3 linked regions of the Anolis sagrei genome follow. The protein of the gene in region 3 purifies or fractionates together with the protein of the main gene of each other region. This does not show direct contact. Links are inferred from orthologs where the notes say so. Each region holds a gene or a part of one and is shown on either strand. Other genes may lie near its edges.

Region 1 (7,078 bases), on a different chromosome or scaffold from region 3:
CCCAACGTGAACACTGGTGGAGTTTGGGGGAAATAGACCTTGACATTTGGGAATTATAGTTGCTGGGATTTATAGCAGTCTGAACCCTACCAACCAGAGAATTGGGCCAAAGGTCTCACATACTGCGTTTTCTGATGGTCTTTGGCAACCCCTCTGACACCCTGTCATGACCCCACCAGGGGTCCCGACCCCAGGTTGAGAAACGTTGTTCTAAAAGCATTCTCTCCTGACGTTTCACCTGCATCTATGACAAGCATCCTCAGAGCTTGTGCGGTCTGTTGGAACTAGGAAAATGGGGTTTATACTGTATAAATCCAAGGAACTACAGCTCCCAAATCACAAAATTAATCCCCTTTCCCAATCCTACCTGTATTCAAATTCGGACATATTGAATATTTGTGCCAAATCTGGTCCAGTGAACATCCTACATATCAGATATCAGATGCAAACATCCTACATATATTGTCGAAGGCTTTCATGGCTGGAATCACTAGGTTCTTGTGGGGTTTTTTTGGGCTATAGGGCCATGTTCTAGAGGCATTTCTCCTGACATTTCGCCTGCATCTATGGCAAGCATCCTCAGAGGTAGTGAGGTCTGTTGGAATTAGGACAATGGGTTTATATATCTGCGGAATGGCTGGGGTGGGGCAAAGAGCTCTTCTCTGCTGGAGCTAGGTGTGAATGTTTCAACTGACCACCTTCATTAGCATTTGAAGGCCTGGCTGAGCCTGGGAAAATCTTTTGTTGAGAGGTGTTAAGATGTGCCTGGTTGTTTCCTCCCTGCTGTTTTGCTGTTGTAATTTTAGAGTTTTTTAATACTGGTAGCCAGATTTTGTTCATTTTCATGGTTTTTTCCTTTCTGTTGAAATTGTCCACATGCTTGTGGATTTCAGTGCCTTCTCTGTGTAGTCTGACATGGTGGTTGTTGGTGTGGTCCAGCATTTCTGTGTTCTCAAATAATATGCTGTGTCCAGGCTCGTTCATCAGGTTCTCTGCTATGGCTGACTTCTCTGGTTGGAGTAGTCTGCAGTGCCTTTCATGTTCCTTGATGCGTGTCTGGGCGATGCTGCGTTTGGTGGTCCCTATGTAGACTTGTCCACAGCTGTATGGTACACGGTAAACTCCTGCAGAGGTGAGAGGATCCCTCTTGTCCTTTGCTGAACGTAGTATTTGTTGGATTTTCTTGGTGGGTTTGTAGATTGTTTGTATGTTGTGTTTCCTCATCAGCTTCCCTGTGCGGTCAGTGGTTCCCTTGATGTATGGCAGGAACACTTTTCCTCTGGGTGGATCTTCATCTTGACTCTCGTGGCTTGTTCTTGGTCTTGCAGCTCTTCTGATGTCTGAGGTGGAGTATCCATTGGCCTGGAGAGCCCAGTTGAGGTGGTTCAGTTCATCTTGGAGAAGGTGGGGTTCGCAGATTCTTTTTGCACGGTCTGCCAAGGCTTTGATGGTGCTTCTTTTTTGACTTGGGTGATGGTTGGAGTTTTTATGTAGATATCTATCTCTGTGTGTGGGTTTTCTGTAAACGGTGTGACCCAATTGTTGATCTGGTTTGCGGATGACTAGGACATCTAGGAAAGGCAGTCTTCCTTCATTTTCCTTTTCCATGGTGAATTGGATGTTTGGGTGGATGCTGTTAAGATGGTCCAGGAACCTGTTGAGTTCTTCTTCTCCATGGCTCCAAATGGTGAAGGTGTCATCTACATATCTGAACCGTATGGTGGGCTTTTTGGTTGCTGTCTCCAGGGCTTGTTCTTCAAAGTGTTCCATGTAGAAGTTAGCTATGACCGGGCTGAGAGGGCTCCCCATAGCTACTCCATCTTTCTGTTCGTAGAATTCATTGTCCGACTGAAAGTAACTGGTGGTAAGGCAATGGTGAAACAGATATACATATATATATTATGATTCATAACAGTAGCAAAATTACAGTTGTGAAGTAGCAAGGAAAATAATGTGATGGTTGGGGGTCACCACCACAAGGGGGACTGTCTATAGGGGTGGAGGCATTAGGGAGAGTGGAGAAGGAGGCGTTACCTCTTCTGGTTCATGGAGGCCACGGGGCTCCACTCGTGGAGGCTGGGGTTGTAGCAGTGGGCGGCGGCGATCTCCTGGCTGGCGGTGAGGCGGTACCCTCCGGCCAGGAAGAGGTAGTTGTCCAGCAGGGCGGCGCCATATCCGCGCACATTGCCCAGCGCGGCGGGGAGCGCCCCGGGAAGAGGTAGCCAGCGCCGGGCGCTTTCATCGTAGCGCAGCGCGGAGCAGAGCGAGGCCTCCTCGGGGTTCGGACTGGCGTGGCTTTGCCCGGCGAAGCGACCCAGGGCGATCAAAGCAGGAGTCGCTCCCGCCAGGCGCCTCTCCCGGAGCTGCTGCTGCAAGGCGCTGGGCAAAAGTTCCGCGCGGCGGAGTAGGGCGTGGAATCGGGCCGCCATGAAGGCCAGCGCCGCCTCTCTCAGCTCGCGCAGGCCGTAGTGCTGGGCCAGGCGGAGGAGGCGCAGGCAGTTGGGCAGGCGCAGCCCGGAGGCCAGCAGGCGCAGCAGCGGCGTGACTTGCAAGTAGCAGGCGGCTTCCACGAGCTCCTCCAGTGCCAGGGAGCCCTCCTCCTCGCCTTCTTCATCCTCCTCCTCGAGAGGCACCCGTCCGCAGTGGATGAAGTCGAGGACCAGCTCCAGGCCGCGCGCGCTCAGCCCTCCGCGCAGGCGCAGCCCCGCCGCCGCCGCCTCCCGCATCCCCGAGCGGAAGAGCGCCCCGAAGAAGTCGCTCTGCTCCAGAAGCAGGCGCTTCCTCGCCGGGAAGCGACGCTCGCCCAGGCGGATCTCCACCACCTCGTCCCCCGGAGCCTCACACAGCCCCGAGCCGGACATCATCTTTGCCGCCCGCCGGAAGGGGAGGGACCCGCACTTCCCCGGTGGAGAAAGGAAGACAGAAAGAAGCCCAAAGAAGGGCAACGCCGCTCCGCTCCTCCCCCGGGAAAGCGGGCTCTGCCCGGGCAGGACAACACCCGCCTCGTCCCCAGCTGCCCTGCTCAGCTCTGGCACTCCGCGCAGCCCTGGCCCCGTAATAGGAGGATTGCTGGGTCCGGAAGCTCCGAGCGCAACCGAGGGGACGCATCGCTTCTTTGGGAGCGCAATTTGCGCAAGAGAGACTTGGCTAATGCAAGCCAAGCCTGAGACAGATCATATAGAAGGCATGTAAGAGTTCTTTCATGGGGAAACCCTTTCCCTAACCCTGAACCGTACCCTAAGCCTAACCTCTTGTTGTTGTTCCTTCGTTCAGTCGCCTCCGACTCTTCGTGACCTCATGGACCAGCCCACGCCAGAGCTCCCTGTCCGCCGTCACCACCCCCAGCTCCTTCAAGGTCAGTCCAGACACTTCAAGGATGCCATCCATCCATCTTGCCCTTGGTCGGCCCCTCTTCCTTTCACTTTCTACTTTCCCCAGCATAATTGTCTTCTCTAGGCTTTGCTGTCTCCTCATGATGTGGCCAAAGACCTTCTCAACCTCTGAGGATGCTTGCCATAGATGCAGGTGAAACGTCAGGAGAAATGCCTCTAGAACATGGCTCTATAGCCCGAAAAAACCCACAAGAACCTACTTCAACTTTGTCTCTAGTATCCTTCCCTCCAGTGAGCAGCCGGGCTTTATTTCCTGGAGGATGGACTGGTTGGATCTTCTCGCAGTCCAAGGCACTCTCAGAACTTTCCTCCAACACCACAGCTCGAAAGCATTGATCTTCCTTCGCTCAGCCTTCCCTAAGGTCCAGCTCTCACATCCGTAGGTGACTACAGGGAATACCATGGCTTTGACTAGGCGGATCTTTGTTGCCAGTGTGATGTCTCTACTCTTTACTATTTTATCAAGATTGGTCATTGCTCTCCTCCCAAGAAGTAAGCGTCTTCTGATTTCCTGGCCACAGTCTGCATCTGCAGTAATCTTTGCGCCTAGAAATACAAAGTCTGTCACGGCCTCCACATTTTCTTCCTCTATTTTCCAGTTGTCAATCATTCTTGTTGCCATAATCTTGGTTTTTTTTTAATGTTTAGCTGCAACCCGGCTTTTGCGCTTTCTTCTTTCACCTTGATTAGAAGGCTCCTCAGCTCCTCCTCGCTTTCGGCCATCAGAGTGGTGTCATCTGCATATCTGAGGTTGTTAATGTTTCTTCCAGCAATTTTCACCCCAGCTTTGCATTCCTCAAGCCCCGCACATCGCATGATGTGTTCTGCATACAAGTTAAAAAGGTTGGGTGAGAGTATGCAGCCTTGCCGTACGCCTTTCCCAATCTTGAACCAGTCTGTTGTTCCATGGTCAGTTCTCCCAAACTCCCAAAATTCTGCCTTCTAGAACAGATAAAATCCCAACTATCGACCCCCTGGATTACACATCAGATTCAGTGGAGATCGCCAGCTGATCCTCTCTCTTCTTCCCAGCCAAGGGACAAGTGAGATCACTACAATGTATCTAAGACACCTTCTTATATCCAGGATGAAACTGTGGTTACAATCCCACCAACAAATATACATATTTGAGACTCTTTCTTTGTCTCTTGTCATGAAAAGATGTCTGGGACAGCAACATCCATTGTGTTTTCCAGCAGGATCCAGTATCTGCATAATTCTGTCAGATCGGCTTTTAGACTTCTTTCCATATTCCAACACCACCCACCCAGAGGTTGGCGCAGTCTCTGGAGGTCCTCCCTTCCCTGGATCACTTCCACCCGTCCATTGGAAGCCTCTGATTGGTCAGGAGGTGGGTCCAAGTGATTGAAAGAGGTGGTGATGACGAAACGGAGGATCTCCTTCCAGCTGACATGCACTGCCTTGGACCCGCCTCCCAACCAATCAGAGGCCTGGAGAATATCAGCCAGCTTCTCGGCACTGGCCAATCAGTAAAAGGGAGTATTTCAGAATGGGACAATGTTGGTGAATGGAAATTTATGTGTATAAAATTGCTTACAATTTTGCTTTTACACTTGTCCCATTTGCGCAATGTTCTTACCTCGTAGGCCGAAGTAGAAGCCTGGCATGTCAGTGAGGCAGGCCTCCATTTTGGGAGTGTAAGCCAGGGAAGCAGACATCTTGAGAGGGTAAAGTTAGAAGAGGGGGGGGGGGAGCTGGAGGTATCCTAGGATTGGCTAGAACAGATGGGAGGAGCCAAGTCTTGGGAGGGAAAAAGTGACAGCTTCTAAGAAAGAGAAGGAGACGGAATCTGGGAATTGAAGAGAGGAGAGGTACTTTTGAGCCTTGGGTTTTTGACAGAGAGCGTTTGTGGCAGGCAAGGCTGCATTATTGGCCAGAAGGGTGAAGTAGCCTCCTGATTGTTTGTGGGTGTTAGCACAAGTGGTTTGCTCTCTGGGTAGAGTAGATTAGCTGTAGAGAACTCTGATTAGAGTGTGCTAATTGCTCTTAAGACAGCCTGAGTGGGTTAGTCTGGGGAACTCACTGCTACTGCGTTATTGTAGAGTGAGGAATTTTGTCAGGAGATCAAGTCAAGTAACTTTCTTTTTTTAAAATATTTTTTATTGAAGTTTTCATAAAACATAAAAAACAAAAAAAAGAACAAGGAAAAAATAAACAAGAAGAAACGTTAGAAACTTTAAAAAAAACAGAGAAAAAGAAAAAAGATGAAAAAGTGAAACTAAAAGTTGACCTCCTGGTATCTTCGGAAAATCTTATCAGTCTTTTTATTTGTGTTCTTGTTTTTCTTCTTTCCCTCTTTTTGACGTAGTTCAATCTATTTTTGTACTTCTTAAATTACTATTTCTTTTTTCTTCTTTTTCAAGTATTCTGTAGCTTCACTCCAATCCGTTTCTTTCCTATTAATTTCTTTGTTTTTCAGCAATAGAAAGGTTAGCTTGTCTAAGTTCCTAATATCTAACATTTTTGTTTCCCAATCATTTATCTCTGGAATCTCTTCTTGTCTCCATACTTTGGCATAGCACATCCTTGCTGCTGTCAACGCCAAAAATAGTATTTTATCTTTATTTTCCTTCAGTTTTCTATCATACATCCCCAGCAGAAAGATCTCTGGCTTCAAGGGCAACTGTATTTTCTGCATAATTTGAATTTCCTTATGTATTCCCCTCCAAAATTTTCTCACTTTATCTCGCTTTATTCTAAAGGAACCATCAAGAATATTGTACCTTAGTAACAAGTTGAGCTTTTGTGCCTCATGAAAGAAGTCAGTTGTTTGTTTGTTCTTATCAATAAATCTTTTCTCTATTCAACTTTTAAAGAAGCCTCAATCGTTATTCGTTCCTGTGGGAATAATTCAAGTTTCTTCAACATCCTAATATCTCAGTCATTTGTGGGAGCTGAGGGAGAGCTGGGTTGGCGGGGAAAAGGGTTACCTCAGAGGATCAATTTCAATATCCTAAGACAGCTTAGGTGGTGGCAGAAAATCTCAAAAATAGAAGAAGATTGAAGCAATGTTCACTCTACCAGAGCACACACATTCCAGCAATATATATATATATAAAAGAAATCCCGTGTAAAGATTCTTTTATACTGGTGGACAGGCGGTGAGATTAATCACAAGGCAGCCCTTAATTCCCTTGTATTGGTGGCAACTGCGGGGTTATTCTATAATAGTGTATAACAAGCCTGCTTATTTTCTGTTATATTGGTGTTACTCATGAATTTTAACTGGTTAACCAAATCCCCATGCTAAGTCTATGAGATGCAAAAAATTAAGAGTCCCTCCAGAACTGCAAGCACTATCTCAAGCAAATATTGACAATTTATTCACACTGTCATTACTTGCAGCAATAGCCGATGTAGTGAAGCAACCAAGTTGGGCGTGTGTGTGTTGAATGTTCTCATTAAGGAGGCCAGACTTGGTGGAGGTGGTTGACAGGGGCAGAGCTGCAGGCTATTGAAGGTTGCTCTGCCCCCTGCTGTGCTCTTTGCTTCAACGTGAGCTAGGAGGCAGGTTTCAACCCCCCCCCCCCCGCAAAATTTTCAACCCCGGCTACGGCCCTGGTGTCGACTAATATAATCTAGTTAAAAGCAGATAATGTGGATTATCTGCTGTGATAATCTGGATTATATAGCATTGTAGAAGGAGCCTGAGCCTCACAATCAAT
Region 2 (7,161 bases), on a different chromosome or scaffold from region 3:
ACAGATAATATACATAAACACATAACACACCCACAAATAAATAACACACACAAAGTACAGGTCCATGTGGCACATGCAAACACATATACATGCATAGACACGCACACACACAAGTATGTAATGTGTGTGTGTGTGTGTGATTATATATACAGGCAGTCTCTGAGTTACAGGCACCTGACTTACATCCGATTCCAAGTTACAAAGGCAGAGACTGAGACAACAGGAGAAATCTGCCCCTCGATAGGAAGAGAAAGTCCTGAAAGTGTTATTATCATGGGGAAAAGAGGCCTCCACTGAAGCTTTATCATCAATCCTTGTTTCCACAACAAGCTGCCTTTGTCAAAATCCCATTACCACAGGGGCATAAAGTGCGACGAAATATTCTGAACACAGACAGCAAAGGAAACCTCTTAGGGGTTTATGCTATCCAAAGCTAACAAAATGTTTGTTTTAGCTAAAGTTACACATAAAAAGTCCCTGTTCTGACTTACACACAAATTCAACTTAAGAACAAACCTGCAGAACTGATCTTCTTTGTAACTTGGGAACTGCATGTATATATATGTGTGTGTGCGTCTGTATTTATGTATGTACGATATGTGTATTTATACATATTTATATATGTGCTTTTTATGTATGTGTATCTGCATATGTGTAATATATGTGTGTATAAATACACATATATAAGTGTGCATTTATGTATGTATATGTATTTTCAAAGGCTTTCATGGCTAGAATCACTGGGTTGCTGTAGGTTTTTCCGGGCTATATGGCTATGTTCTAGAGGCATTCTCTCCTGATGTTTCGCCTGCATCTATGGCAAGCATCCTCAGAGGTAGTGAGGTCTGTTGGAACTAGGAAAATTGGGTTTATATATCTGTGGAATGATCAGGGTGGGACAAAGAACTCTTGTCTGCTAGAGCTAGGTGTGAATGTTTCAACTGACCACCTTGATTAGCATTTGATGGCCTGGCGGTAGTCTGCAGTGCCTTTCATGTTCCTTGATTTGTGCTTGGGCGATGCTGCGTTTGGTGGTCCCTATGTAGACTTGTCCACAGCTGCATGGTATACAGTAGACTCCTGCAGAAGGGAGAGGATCCCTCTTGTCCTTTGCTGAACGTAGCATTTGTTGGATTTTCTTGGTGGGTCTGTAGATAGTTTGTATATTGTGTTTCCTCATCACTTTCCCTATGCGGTCAGTGGTTCCCTGTGGACAAGTCTACATAGGGACTACCAAACGCAGCATTGCCCAAACACGAATCAAGGAACATGAAAGACACTGCAGACTACTTCAACCAGAGAAGTTAGCCATAGCAGAGCACCTGATGAACCAACCTGGACACAGCATATTATTTGAGAACACAGAAATGCTGGACCACTCTAACAACCGCCATGTCAGACTACACAGAGAAGCCATTGAAATCCACAAGCATGTGGAAAATTCCAACAGAAAGGAGGAAGCCATGAAAATGGAACAAAATCTGGCTACCAGTATTAAAAAACTCTAAAATCACAACAGCAAAACATCAGAGAGGAAACAATCTGGGACATCTAATCACCTCTCAACAAAAGATTGCCCCAGGCACTGCCAAGCCATCAAATGTTAATCAAGGTGGTCAGTTGAAACATTCACACCTGGCTCCAGCAGACAAGAGTCCTTTGTCCCACCCTGGTCATTCCACAGATATATAAAACCTTTTTCCTAGATCCAACAGACCTCACTACCTCTGAGGATGCTTGCCATAGATGCAGGCGAAACATCAGGAGAGAATGCCTTTAGAACATGGCCATATAGCCCGAAAAAACCTAAAACGGCCCAATAAGGAACAGCTAATCACCTCTCAACCAAAGATTCCCCCAGGCACTAACAAACCACACCAAAAAAAACTGCCAGGCCATCAAATGCTGATCAAGGTGGTCAGTTGAAACATTCACACCTGGCTCCAGCAAACAAGAGTCCTTTGTCCCGCCCTGGTCATTCCACAGAAATATAAACCCAATTTTTCTAGTTCCAACAGACCTCACAACCTCTGAGGATGCCTGCCATAGATGCAGGCGAAACATCAGGAGAGAATGCCTCTAGAACATGATCATATAGCCTGAAAAAACCTACAATAACCTATGCATGTATATGTGTGTGTGCATAAGTGTATGTATCTGTGTGTGTTTATATATGTATACAGTATATGTGAGTGTGTACCTCTGTGTAATATGTGTGTACTTGTGTATATATCTATAGATAGATATGTGTGTGTATGTCTATATGTATAAAAACACACAAATTCATTCAGAGCACACATGCAGACATGACAACATAAACAAATACATGTATATATGTCTATATTTCCTTCCCTCCCTGCCCCTTCCTTCCTTCCTTCCTTCCTTCCTTCCTTCATCCTTTCCTTCTTCTTCCTCCCTTCCTTTTTTCCACACATCTTCCTTCCTTCTTTCTTCTTTCCTTCCCTCTTCCTTCTTCCTTCTTTCCCCCTTCCTATCTTCCTCCCTCCCTTCTTCTTTCCTTGCCTGTGTGCAGGGAGGCGTTGGGCGCCCCTCCGTCCTTTCCCGACTACGAAGTGGACGTCGCTGAGCACCTCGTTGTTGAAGAGGAAGGCCATGCGCTCCAGGACCGTGGGCTTGGTGGCCTGCCAGTTGTAGGCCGAGGGCGGAGGCGAGGAAGGCGGCGGGGAAGGTGGCGACGAGGAAGACGACGGCGCCGAGGCCGCGGGAGGAGGAGGCGAGGAGGAGGAGGCGACCCCCTGGATGCGCGGGTTGCCTCCGCCCCGGTTCTGCGCAGCACCAGGCCCCGGAGCCTCGGGCCTCGCGTGAGGGGGCGCTCCGCCCAGGTTGGAGCAGGGCGGGAGAGGCGGAGGAGGCGGCGCCGAGGAGGAGAAAGGCAGGCCCCCTTCGCCGCCGACTCCTTCCTCCAGGGGCCCGGCTCCGGCCGCCATTTTTCGGCGCCGAGGAGGAGGAGGAGCCCAAGGGACCGAGAAGGGGAGGAGGAGGAAACAGCACGGGCTTCCGCTGCGGCCCATGGAAGAAGGAAGGGAGGGAGGAAAATGGAGGGAGAGAGGAGGGAAGGCGCCGCCTGAGGGAAAGGAGGCGCAATGGCCGCCTGCCGAATGAGGCCTATGCGAGGAAGGCTTCCATACCTAGCTGAAGGGAAGGTTCTCGATGGAGGCCTACTTGAGGAAGGCTTCAAGGCCTGGCTGAGGGGAAGGTTTAGAATGGAGGCCTACCTGAGGAGACTTTGAATTGTGACCTACCTGAGGAGGCTTCCAAGGCCTGTCTGAGGGGAAGGTTTACATTGGAGGCCTACCTTAGGAAGGCTTCGAGGCCTACCTGATAGGAAGGTTTTAAATAGAGACCTACCCAAGGAGGGCATCAAGGCCTATCTGAGGGGAAAGTTGTCCTCCTGGATTCATCACTTACGTTTGAAAGCTCAGGTGTCGGCAGTGGCCGGGAGGGCTTTCGCACAATTAAGACTTGTGCGCCAACTGCGACCGTACTTCGCGAAGGCTGATCTGGCCGGGGTGGTCCATGCCTTGGTCACCTCTAGATTGGGGAAAGTGGAAGGCAAAAGGAAGAGGGGCCGACCAAGGGCAAGATGGATGGATGCCATCCTTGAAGTGACTGGACTGACCTTGATGGAGCTGGGAGTGGTGACGGCCGACAGGGAGCTCTGACGTGGGCTGGTCCATGAGGTCACGAAGAGTCGGAGACGACTGAATGAATGAACAACAATGCGCTCTAAGTGGGGCTGCCCTTGAAAACGGCCCGGAAATTTCAACTGGTCCAACGGGCAGCGGCCAGGATGTTAACTGGTACCCCTTATAAAGAGAGGTCAACCCTCCTGTTCAAGGACCTCCACTGGCTGCCGTTTATTTTCCGAGCCCAATTAAATGTGCATGTGCTTATCTACAAAGCCCTGAACGGTTTGGGACCATCCTACCTGCGTGACTGCATCTCCGTTTACAAACCCACACGTTCACTACATTCATCTGGAGAGGCCCTGCTCGTGATCCCGCCTGAGTCGCAAGCACGTTTGGTGGGGGTCACGAGACAGGGCCTTTTCTGTGGTGGCCCCCCGACTCTGGAACACCCTCCCCAAAGATCTTAGACAGGCTCCTACATTGGCAATCTTTAGAAAGAACTTGAAGACCTGGCTGTTCCGATGTGCCTTCCCAGAATAGGAAATTTCCAATACCAAGTCCCAGAAGCACTTTATTAGAACTAAGATTGCCACACACTGCACACTGCACTTTCCCTATAAGCCTTATATAAAAAAAAATCATCCAGGCGTCCCCTGGGCAACGTCCTTGCAGACAGCCAATTCTCTCACAACAGGAGCGGTTGCTCCTGACACACAAAAAAAATAATCCTTATATACCACCTGTCACATCAGCACTTTTAATTCTGTACCCATTACTCTGGCCCGGCCCAGTTTTATTGTGTTTTGGTGTATTGTTTATTGCTTGTTGTTTTGTTGTTTAATATTGTTTTAATTGTTTTTAATTTGCTTTAGGTTTTGTATTGTTATGCTGTGTATTGAGGCCTTGGCCTTCATAAGCTGCATCGAGTCCTTCGGGAGATGCTAGCAGGGTACAAATAAAGTTAATAATAAGTTTTAGAATAGAGGCCTACACGAGGAGACTTTAAATTGTGGCCTACCTGAGGAGGCTTCCAAGGCCTGTCTTAGGGGAAGGTTTACAATGGAGGCCTACCTTAGGAAGGCTTCAAGGCCTAGCTGATAGGAAGGTTTTAAATAGAGACCTACCCAAGGAGGGCATCAAAGCCTTTTGTTGTTGTTCATTCGTTCAGTCGTCTCTGACTCTTCGTCACCTCATGGACCAGCCCACGCCAGAGCTCCCTGTCGGCCATCACCACCCCCAGCTACTTCAAGGTCAGCCCAGTCACTTCAAGGATGCCATCCATCCATCTTGCCCTTGGTCGGCCCCTCTTCCTTTTGCCTTCCACTTTCCCCAGCATAATTGTCTTCTCTAGGCTTTGCTGTCTCCTCATGATGTGGCCAAAGGACTTCAACTTTGTCTCTAGTATCCTTCCCTCCAATGAGCAGCCGGGCTTTATTTCCTGGAGGATGGACTGGTTGGATCTTCTCACAGTCCAAGGCACTCTCAGCACTTTCCTCCAGCACCACAGCTCAAAAGCATCTATTTTCCGACTAAGGAGGAGAAAATCCTTTCCTTTTAAATCCCTTTACTGTCCCCACTCTTTCCAGGAACCTACATAGATTCTCTTTTTGTAATTAGCTGTGGCTCTTCTGTGACTCTTTAAGAAAACTTGTGCAGTGCTTTGCATTACAGGTTTCAGACAAACTTCACAGTAACATTGTTTATTTATAGCTTCTTGTACAAATGCTTATTGGTTACATTTATATCACTGTTTCTTAGTTGCACATAACTTGGTTTCATTACAGTTTTCTTTTCATAACAGTCTACTTCAAAGGTACTCAAACATCAACATTTTGCTAGCTTCCTACTCTGGCTTCTGCACTCAAACTGACTCAAGCCTCAACTGCCATTTGCCAACTTATTTTTATTTATTTATGTATTTTTCGTGTCAGAGCAACCAGTGCATTATATTACATTTCTAACAGAACAAAGCAAACAAACAGACAAATAGAAAACTTGTGAGTTTGGTAGTTGGTTAAATGTCCTTTGACCAGTATCTGGCCACTTGGAGTGCTCCGGTGTTGCTGCAAGAAGGTCCTCCGTTGTGCATGTGGCAGGGCTCAGGTTGCATTGCAGCAGGTGGTCAGTGGTTTGCTCTTCTCCACACTCGCATGTCGAGGATTCCACTTTGTAGCCCCATTTCTGAAGGTTGGCTCTGCATCTCGTGGTGCCAGAGTGCAGTCTGTTCAGTGCCTTCCAAGTTGCCCAGTCTTCTGTGTGCCCAGGAGGGAGTCTTATTTGGTATCAGCCATTGGTTGAGGTGCTGAGTTTGAGCCTGCCACTTTTGGACTCTCGCTTGCTGAGGTGTTCCAGCGAGTCTCTCTGTAGATCTTAGAAGACTATGTCTAGATTTAAGTCGTTGACGTGCTGGCCGATACCCAAACGGGATGAGCTGGAGATGTCTCAGCCTTGGTCCTTTCACTATTGGCTGCTACTTCCCGGCGGATGTCAGGTGGTGCAATATTGGCTAAGCAGTGTAATTTCTCCAGTGGTGTAGGGCGCAGACACCCCGTGATAATGCAGCATGTCTCATTCAGAGCCACATCCACTGTTTTAGTGTGGTGAGATGTGTTCCACACTGGGCATGCATACTCAGCAGCAGAGTAGCATAGCGCAAGGGCAGATGTCTTCACTGTATCTGGTTGTGATCCCCAGGTTGTGCCAGTCAGCTTTCGTATGATATTGTTTCTGGCACCCACTTTTTGCTTGATATTTAAAAAGTGCTTCTTGTAGGTCAGAGCACGATCCAGAGTGACTCCCAGGTATTTGGGTGCGCTGCAATGCTCCAGTGGGATTCCTTCCCAGGTGATCTTCAGAGCTCGGGATGCTTGTCTGTTCTTGAGATGAAAGGCACATGTCTGTGTTTTAGATGGGTTGGGGATCAGCTGGTTTTCCCTGTAATAGGCAGTAAGAGCACCTAGAGCTTCGGAGAGCTTCTGTTCTACTGTCTCAAAGTTCCCTGCTTGAGCAGTAATTTCCCAACTGTCAACTTTTAAATTCCTGTTCCAGCTTCTGCACCTACTCGTTTGCATAGGACCAATCGGAACCCTTTATGCAAATTAACTCTTCTCCTTCTGTTACTGCCCTCTAAGAATAACATAATGGCTGTTCTTGCATCAACTCTTCAATGTAGGCCCTATTACAACACTGACATATATATTAAAACTTTAACCTATAACAAACATTTCGCTACACCTCCCCTCAAAGAAGGCCTCCATATTGAATCTCATTTTTTTTTAAAAAAAAACAACTCTTCAGCTAAACTACCATTTTAAAGATCCCCCCTTTCAAAACCATAAAAGCCTCAATTTTTGAACCCACTTTCAATGTATAAAAGCCATCCAAACCTCCATTTAAAGGCCCACCTTTTTTCAACCCGCAAAACAGCCCCATTTTAAAGCCCAATGTAAAAGTGCCCCTGTTTAGAACCCACTTTTAAATATTTAAAAGCCTTCATCAGCCTCCATTTGAA
Region 3 (8,060 bases):
AACTAAAGACGTGGCTGTTCGAGAAGGCGTTCGAACAAGAAGTGCAATAATTGGCAATGACAACAGGAATGGAACAACGGAAAACGATATTGGATTGTGGCTTAACGATGAGACGACGCGAATGACTTTTTTGTATTTTTGTATTATTGATATTGAGATTGTTGATGTTGTTGATGACGATGTTTTGATATTGCTAGTTTGTTGTTAGATTATGTCTTGTAATTTGCACCTTATTCTCTACATGTTGTACACCGCTGTGAGTCGCCCCTGGGCTGAGAACAGCGGCCTATAAGCACAGTAAATAAATAAATAATAATAATCAATCAGTTTTTGGTCAACTTTAGATTTAGTTTGGTTATTTGGGGTGCTGATTCAGAAAATTGCATTGGGTAGACCACATCTGGGGGCCCGGTGGTGCGGCAGGTTAAACCGCTGAGCTGCTGAACTTGCTAATCAAAAGGTTGGCTGTTCAAATCTGGGGAGTAGCGTGAGCTCTCGCCGTTAGGTCCAGCTTCTGCCAACCTAGCAGTTTGAAAACATGCAAATATGAGTAGATCAATAGGTAGATCAGTCTTTGTCACAACTGGTAAATCACCAGCAGTGATAAGATCTACCAACCAAAAGGTTGCCAGTTCGAAGCCCCATGTCGTAGTGAGCTCCCGACTGTCAGCCCAGCTTACTGTTGACCTAAGCAGTTTGAAAACAGCTTGAGCTGTAATAGAGAAATTGGGTACCGCTAAAACAAGTGAGGGAGGTATTTTACAACATCATAAAAAAATCAGAAAATGCCCGGCGACCAAAAGGAAGGAGGAAGTCCTGATGGCTCTTCGTCATAGAGGATGGAGCAACAGCACCTCTATTTAGCTGGACTTGAGCACAACCTCCAAAAAGCTGGATGTTGACACAACATACTGTTCTGTTGTATCTGTCGGGCTCTGTCCTGTCTATCGCAAACGGCACTCAATGCTTGCCATGTATGTTTACTGTGATCCACCCTGAGTCCCCTTGGGGAGATAGGGCAGAATATCAGTGTTATTATTATTATTATTACCGCTTCTGCGGGAAGGTAACACGCTCCATGCAGTTATGCTGGCCACATGACCTAAGTGTTGCTGATGAACAATGCTGGCTCTTCGACTTAGAAATGGAGATGAGGACCACCCCCCAGAGTCCAACACAACTAGACTTAATGTCAGGGGAAACCTTTACCTTTTAAACCACATCAGCTCTAGTTTCTGATACGGAACATATGCCATCCAGAAGTCGCCATCTGCTTTCCCACAGAAAACCATACTGAATCTAGAGCTGATGTGGTAGTAGTAATCATTTGTGGGTAGTCAACCACTCCCCTCTCGATATCCCTGTTGCCTTGGCACTATAAGAAGGTTTCACAAGACCAGTCACAGGGTTTTGCGAGATCAGTCGCTCTCATTGCCACGTAGTTTCGAGGCAACAATGTTTTCATTCTTGTGGACCACGTGTACTGCCACGTCTCAAGGCAATGGCATCCCAGGAGTTGTAGTTTTACAAGGTCTTTAGCCTTCTTGGGCCAAGAGTGTGGCCTCCCCAAATTACAATTCTCATTTACTGGAGTTAATAGACTTTTAATTTAGACATATATACTTATATAGGGATATGCTTATCCATTTGAGTAAGAACTCCAACAACTAGTTCTGTGTGTGTTTTAAAAGAAATGAGAGCTAAAAGGATATCACCCATGAAAAGCACCTCTATGGACATGGGTGGCTTCTTAGTAGTGAGCAAAGATACTGAAAAAAAATATCTTTGATGCACTTTACATTGCTTGAAAGAAACTCAATAAAGTAATTAACAAACAGAAGCACAGGAAATATTCTATATATTAATTGGGGGTGGGCATGCTCATCAAGCTCTGAAGTAATAAATGATAGCAGTGCTATTTCCGGCATTCCTGTTATCTCTATTTGGGTGATTCTTGTTTCTTGAAATCCATTTTTCCAAAAAAATTTAACATATTTACAAGACCACCACATGTGTATATATGTACCAGTTTCTTGCCAGCCCCTCCAGCACTGCTTAGAGTATTTCTTATGGATTTGATTTAATCTGACTGGTGTGAGATGCCATCTCCACACCACTTTGTAATAATTCTCTTTTATTCTTATTGACAGATTTTAATATGCCATATTCCTTTCCAATTTTGAGGGTATATTACTTTAATACAATCCGATTCCCACATTCCTTTACGGTGGTCCTGCTCCTGGACTCCTTCCAACAATATTTTATAGATATCGCTTGTTACACCTTTTTGTTCTTCCTTTTTCTTCCTTACTCCCTCTTTGGCTAATCATTTCTTCAAATTTAGTAAGTTCTCAATCTCCTTTATATTTCTTTCTTATTCCCCTTAACCATCTTTCCAATTGTAGAGCTTTATACCACCCAATACTTCATCCTGATAATTGGTCCTTTATCTCCTCTATATTTTTCATCTTTGGTTCCCAGTCTTTTAATTTCATTATTCCTTTTTCTTTTAATTCTCTTTCTAACTCCTTTTTGAGATTTATAGGAAAATTATTTGTAATCAACACTGGAGTTAATGGGGAGATCGGCGGTATTAATTTTTCTTCATACTTAGACCATATTTCAAATATATATATATACTTAACAGCGTTCTCTATTTTGTTATACCATTTCTTCCCCAAATTCCTGATTTTCCCTATGAAGAAAATATATTCTGGATTTATATCTATGTCTTCACTCCCTCTTCTAACCATTCTAAATCACTCTGACCCATAATCCCTTTGACAATATACCTTAACTGGTTTGCTATGGAATGTCTAGGATGGGAGAAATCCCAACAAAGGATTCCCCAAGGCAGGAAGCAGCCAGACTTTAAAGCTGCAAGGCTATTCAATGTTAATCGAGCTGACTTTATATAACCATGGAATGTCCAGAATGGGAGAAATCCCAACAAAGGATTCCCCCAGGTAGGAAGCAGCCAGACTTTAAAGCTGCAAGGCTATTCAATGTTAATCGAGCTGAGTTTATATAACTGTGGAATGTCCAGAATGGGATAAATCTCAACAAGGGATTCCCCCAGGCAGGAAGAAGCGAGACTGCACGGCTATTCAATGTTAATCAAGCTGAGTTTATATAACCGTGGGATGTCCAGGATGGGAGAAATCCCAACAAAGGATTCTCCCAGGTAAGAAGCAGCTGTAAGGCTATTCAATGTTAAACAAGCTGAGTTTATATAACTGTAGAATGTCCAGGATGGGAGAAATCCCAACAAAGGAGTCCCCCAGATAGGAAGCAGCCAGACTTTAAAGCTGCAAGGCTATTTAATGTTAATGAAGCTGAGTCTGCCCCGGAGTGTAGTGGAGGCTCCTTCTTTGGAAGCTTGTAAACAGAGGCTGGGTGGCCATCTGTCAGAGGTGATTTGAATGCAATATTCCTGCTTCTTGGCAGGGGGTTGGACTGGATGGCCCATGAGGTCTCTTCCAACTCTAGGATTCTATGATTCTATATAACCGTGGAATGTCCAGGATGGGAGAAATCCCAACAAAGGATTCCCCCAGGTAGGAAGCAGCCAGACTTTAAGGCTGCAAGGCTATTCAATGTTAATCGAGCTGAGTTTTTATAACCGTGGAATCTCCAGGATGGAAGAAATCCCAACAAAGGATTCTCCCAGACAGGAAGCAGCCAGACTTTAAAGATGCAAGGCTATTCAATGTTAATAAAGCTGAGTTTATATAACCATGGAATGTCCAGGATGGGAGAAATCCCAACAAAGGATTCTCCCCGGCAGGAAGCAGCCAGACTTTAAAGATGCAAGGCTATTCAATGTTAATCAAGCTAAGTTTATATAATCGTGGGATGTTCAGGATGCAAGAAATCCCAACAAGTATTTTAGTTTTTATCTTGCACATGCGGCCTACTCATTGTTATGTTATTTTATTTTACTGTGTATGATTTTGGTTATTGTTTTTGTACTCATATGTTGTATGAATTTTTCTGTGTTGTCACTGTGTTTTGGTTTTACTTTATTGTAATATGCTGTTGGGCTTGGCCTCATTTAAGCCTCCCTGAGTCCCCATTGGGGAGATGGTGGTGGGGTATTAAATAAAGTTGTTTATTATTATTATTATTATTATTCCCCCCGGTGGCGCAGTCGGTTAAAGCACTGAGCTGCTGAGGTTGTTGATCGAAAGGTCGCAGGTTCGATTCCGGGGAACAACGTGAGCTTCTGCTGTCAGCCCTAGCTTCTGCCAACCTAGCAGTTCGAAAACATGCAAATGTAAGTAGATCAATAGGTACTGCTCCGACGGGAAGGTAACGGCGCTCCATGCAGTCATGCCGGCCACATGACCTTGGAGGTGTCTATGGACAACGCTGGCTCTTTGGCTTAGAAATGGAGATGAGCACCACACCCCAGAGTCAGACATGACTGGACTTAATGTCAGGGGACTACCTTTACCAACCTATTCCCCCAGGCAGGAAGCAGCCAGGCTTTAAAGCTGCAAGACTATTCAATGTTAGTCAAGCTGGCCAGCTGCAATATTCCCACTTGCCTCAAGTAGTCAAGAGTTCTTTGTCCCACCTCAGACATTCCACAGATATAAACCCCACTTGCCTAGTTTCCAACAGACCTCACAACCTCTGAGATGTGGGAGAAACGTCAGGAGAGAATGCTTCTGGAATATGGCCACACAGCCCGGAATATTCACAGCAACCCAATGCAGATGAGAAGTTCATGACTTCCTCCCGGTGCTTACGAATCTGCTTTTAGCCCAAGCTTCTAAGTTCAAAGCTTGTGTCTCCCAGGAGGCCTTGCGGCATGACGCGCCTTTTCCCCCGACAGCGCATGCGCCGTAACGCCAGGCGGAAATGACGCCAAAAAAAGGTTGGCAAGACAAAGCCGATTCCAGGCGGGAGGGTCACGCCGTTGTTGACCGCTAGGGGGCGCGCGAACTAGGGGCGTGCCGCACAGCGCGGACGGAACCCTTCCGCGAAGAGCGACACCCACCGGCTTCCGTAGTAGCACTGGGCTGGCGGAAAACAGGCCGGCAGGCAGGCTCGGTCCGGCTGCCTGCCTGTCAGTGGAGAGCGGGCCTTATGGCGGCGGCGGCGGCAGCAGCGGGGCCCTCGGGCAGCAGCGGGATGGCCCAGAAGACTTGGGAACTGGCGAACAACATGCAGGAGGCGCAGAGCATCGACGAGATCTACAAGTACGACCGCAAGCAGCAGCAGGAGATCCTGGCCGCCAAGCCCTGGACCAAGGAGTGAGTTCTGGGCCCAGCACCCTGGGAGGTGGTGTTTGGGGAGGCTTTAGAGCAGGCATGGGGCAGCTTGGGCCTTGCAAGGGTTTTGGACTCCAACTCCCACCATTCCTCACAGCCTCAGGCCCCTTCCTTTTCCCCCTCACTAGCGGCTGAGGGGGAAAAGGAAGGGGCCTGAGGCTGTGAGGAATGGTGGGAGTTGGAGTCCAAAACCCCTGCAGGGCCTAAGTTGGCCCGTGCCTGCTGCAGACTCATAATCTAAAGCCTGAACTATTCCTAGACGCTGACATAATTGAAATCAGACTGCCATGACTTATCATGAGAAGGCGTCACTCATTACAAAAGACGATACTCATTACAAAATGGTTCTGGCCCAACTTGCCTGTCCAAACAAATCTCCCCTTATGAACCTTCGAGGACTTTAAGATCGTCCAAAGGAGAGGCCCTGCGCTCGGTCCCGCCATCATCACAAGCACGGCTGGCGGGGATGAGAGACAGAGCCTCCTCAGTGGTGGCCCCTCAGCTATGGAACGCCCTTCCAAGGAGATCAGATTGGCTTCTTTGCTCCTAGCATTTCGGAAGAATCTTAAGACATGGCTATTTAAGCAGGCATTTGCGAATACTGAGTAACAGACATTATTATTATTATTATTAACTTTATTTGTACCCCGCTAGCATCTCCCAAAAGACTCGATGCGGCTTACAAAGGCCAAGGCCTCAAAACACAACATAACAATACACAACCTAAAGCAAATTTAAAACAGTTAAAGCAATATTAAACAACATGCAATAAAACAATACACCGGGACACAATAAAACTGGGCCGGGCCAGAGTAATGGGTACAGATTAAAAGTGCTGATGTGACAGGTGATATGTAAGGATTATAGGGTAGTGCAGTGTGCCAGCAATTTTAATTTCTAATAAAGTGCTTTCTGGGACTTGTTGTTGGAGTTTTCCTATTCTGGAAAGGCACATCGGAACAGCCAGGTCTTCAGGTTCTTTCTAAAGACTGCCAACGTAGGGGCCTGTCTAAGATCTTTGGGGAGGGTGTTCCAAAGTCGGGGGGCCACCACAGAAAAGGCCCTGTCTCGCGTCCCCACCAAATGCGCCTGCAACGCAGGCGGGATCACGAGCAGGGCCTCTCCGGATGAATGAAGTGAGCACGTGGGTTCATAAACAGAGATGCGGACATAAGAATGGAATAATAATAATAATATTTATTTGTACCCCGCCACCATCTCCCCAGTGGAGACTTGGAGTGGCTTACATGAGGCCAAGCCCAAACAACAATTACAGTAAAGAACAACCGAACGCAAACCGAAAATGCAAACAATAAACTGCAACATCATAATTACATAAAACATATTAATATACAACAATATAAAATTACAGTAAACACAAACACAGTGACAATGGGCGGGCTATATGTAATGGTTAAAAGAAGAACTAATTAAAACTGGTTAAAAACTCGGGTGAGATAAAAGAGAAACAAATTATTTGTGGAGGAGGGCTCATTATAGTGGGAGTTGTGGAATCAAGCTTTCCCATGAGGGGGGGAATGTATTCTCCAGTGACAGAACATTGCAAATGAATGATAATGTGGGATTGAATACCTATTCACCAAAGGCGCAACAGAAGAGCCAGGTTTTGAGGTTCTTTTTAAAAGTTTCTAGGGTAGGGGCTTTCCTAATTTTTCCTAACAACTACATGACGGGGCTGGACATTGTGTTAATAAGTATTTATTGAATTATGTTTTATTATAGTGTTATGATTTTATTGATGTTGACATTTTATATTGTAATTGTGTTCTTGGTGGCATTGAATTTTGCCTTGTAAACTGCCTCGAGTCGCCGGAAGGCTCAAAGCGGTGGTATACAAATATACTAAATATATAAATAAATATATTGGTGAGGTTGAAAGACCACGTTGCAGATAGAATCATACAGTTGGAAGAAACCCCTTGACAAGAAGCAGGAAAATCACATTCTTACTTAGGCGATCCCTCGTAGTTTGAGGATGATGGTCTTTCAGATGTGGTGCCTTGGCAGTGGGTTCGTAGGTGGCTGTTGAGCCTTATTCTTGATCCGCATGTTCTCCCGCAGTTAAGGACATTGGTTTCCAGGTGGAAGGCGGTTTCTGTCAGGGTTGGCTTGACGCGCCTTCCTCTTGGCATGTTTCTTCCTCCATTTGTGCCTCTTTGAATTCTGCAGCATTGCTGGTCACAGCTGACTTCCAGTTAGAGCACCCAATGGCCAGGGCTTCCTAATTCTCGGTGTCTATGCCATAGTTTTAAGCCCATCTTTAAATCTCTTTTCCAGCCCATCAACATTATGTTTTCCGTTCTTGAATTGGGAGTAGAGTAACTGCTTTGGGAGATGGTGATCGGGCATTCGGACAACATGGCCAGTCCAGCGGAGTTGATGGCGGAGAACCATAGCTTCACTGATGGTGGTCTTTGCTTCTACCAGCACATTTATATTTGTCCGCCTGTCTTCCCAAGAGATTTGCAGGATTGTTTTGGAGGCAACGCTGATGGAATTGTTACAGGAGTTGTGTGTGAAGTCTGTAGACAGTCCACGTTTCGCAGGCATTATAGCAAGGTTGGGAGAACAATGGCTTTATAAATCACATTCAAAGCACCCACGACAAATGACCATCCAACCTCTGCTTAAAAGCCTCCAAAGAAGGAGCTTCCACCATACTGGGGCAAAGAGTTCCACTGCTGAACAGCTCTCGCAATGAGGAGGTTCTTCCTCATGTTCAGGTGGAATCTCCTTTCCTGTAGTTTGAAGCCATTCTTC

What was found. Proteins that work in one complex are often made in the same cells at the same time.
Region 1: the proteins of COPS5 (region 3) and KLHL42 purify together in Homo sapiens (affinity purification with mass spectrometry; 3 studies listed by BioGRID and IntAct, with this or other methods). This does not show direct contact. The link is inferred for Anolis sagrei from reciprocal best matches to the Homo sapiens genes COPS5 and KLHL42.
Region 2: the proteins of COPS5 (region 3) and BTBD2 purify together in Homo sapiens (affinity purification with mass spectrometry; 4 studies listed by BioGRID and IntAct, counting the BioPlex papers as one, with this or other methods). This does not show direct contact. The link is inferred for Anolis sagrei from reciprocal best matches to the Homo sapiens genes COPS5 and BTBD2.

Annotation. Positions count from the first base shown.
Region 1 is NC_090025.1:102,406,147-102,413,224, reverse strand, and holds the start of KLHL42 (kelch-like protein 42), read right to left. Parts: upstream 3,048-7,078; 5' UTR 2,865-3,047; coding exon 2,035-2,864; intron 1-2,034. UniProt on the Homo sapiens protein: Substrate-specific adapter of a BCR (BTB-CUL3-RBX1) E3 ubiquitin-protein ligase complex required for mitotic progression and cytokinesis. The BCR(KLHL42) E3 ubiquitin ligase complex mediates the ubiquitination and subsequent degradation of KATNA1.
Region 2 is NC_090034.1:52,728,297-52,735,457, reverse strand, and holds the start of BTBD2 (BTB/POZ domain-containing protein 2), read right to left. Parts: upstream 3,048-7,161; 5' UTR 3,033-3,047; coding exon 2,524-3,032; intron 1-2,523.
Region 3 is NC_090024.1:45,218,123-45,226,182, forward strand, and holds the start of COPS5 (COP9 signalosome complex subunit 5), read left to right. Parts: upstream 1-4,981; 5' UTR 4,982-5,094; coding exon 5,095-5,261; intron 5,262-8,060. UniProt on the Homo sapiens protein: Probable protease subunit of the COP9 signalosome complex (CSN), a complex involved in various cellular and developmental processes.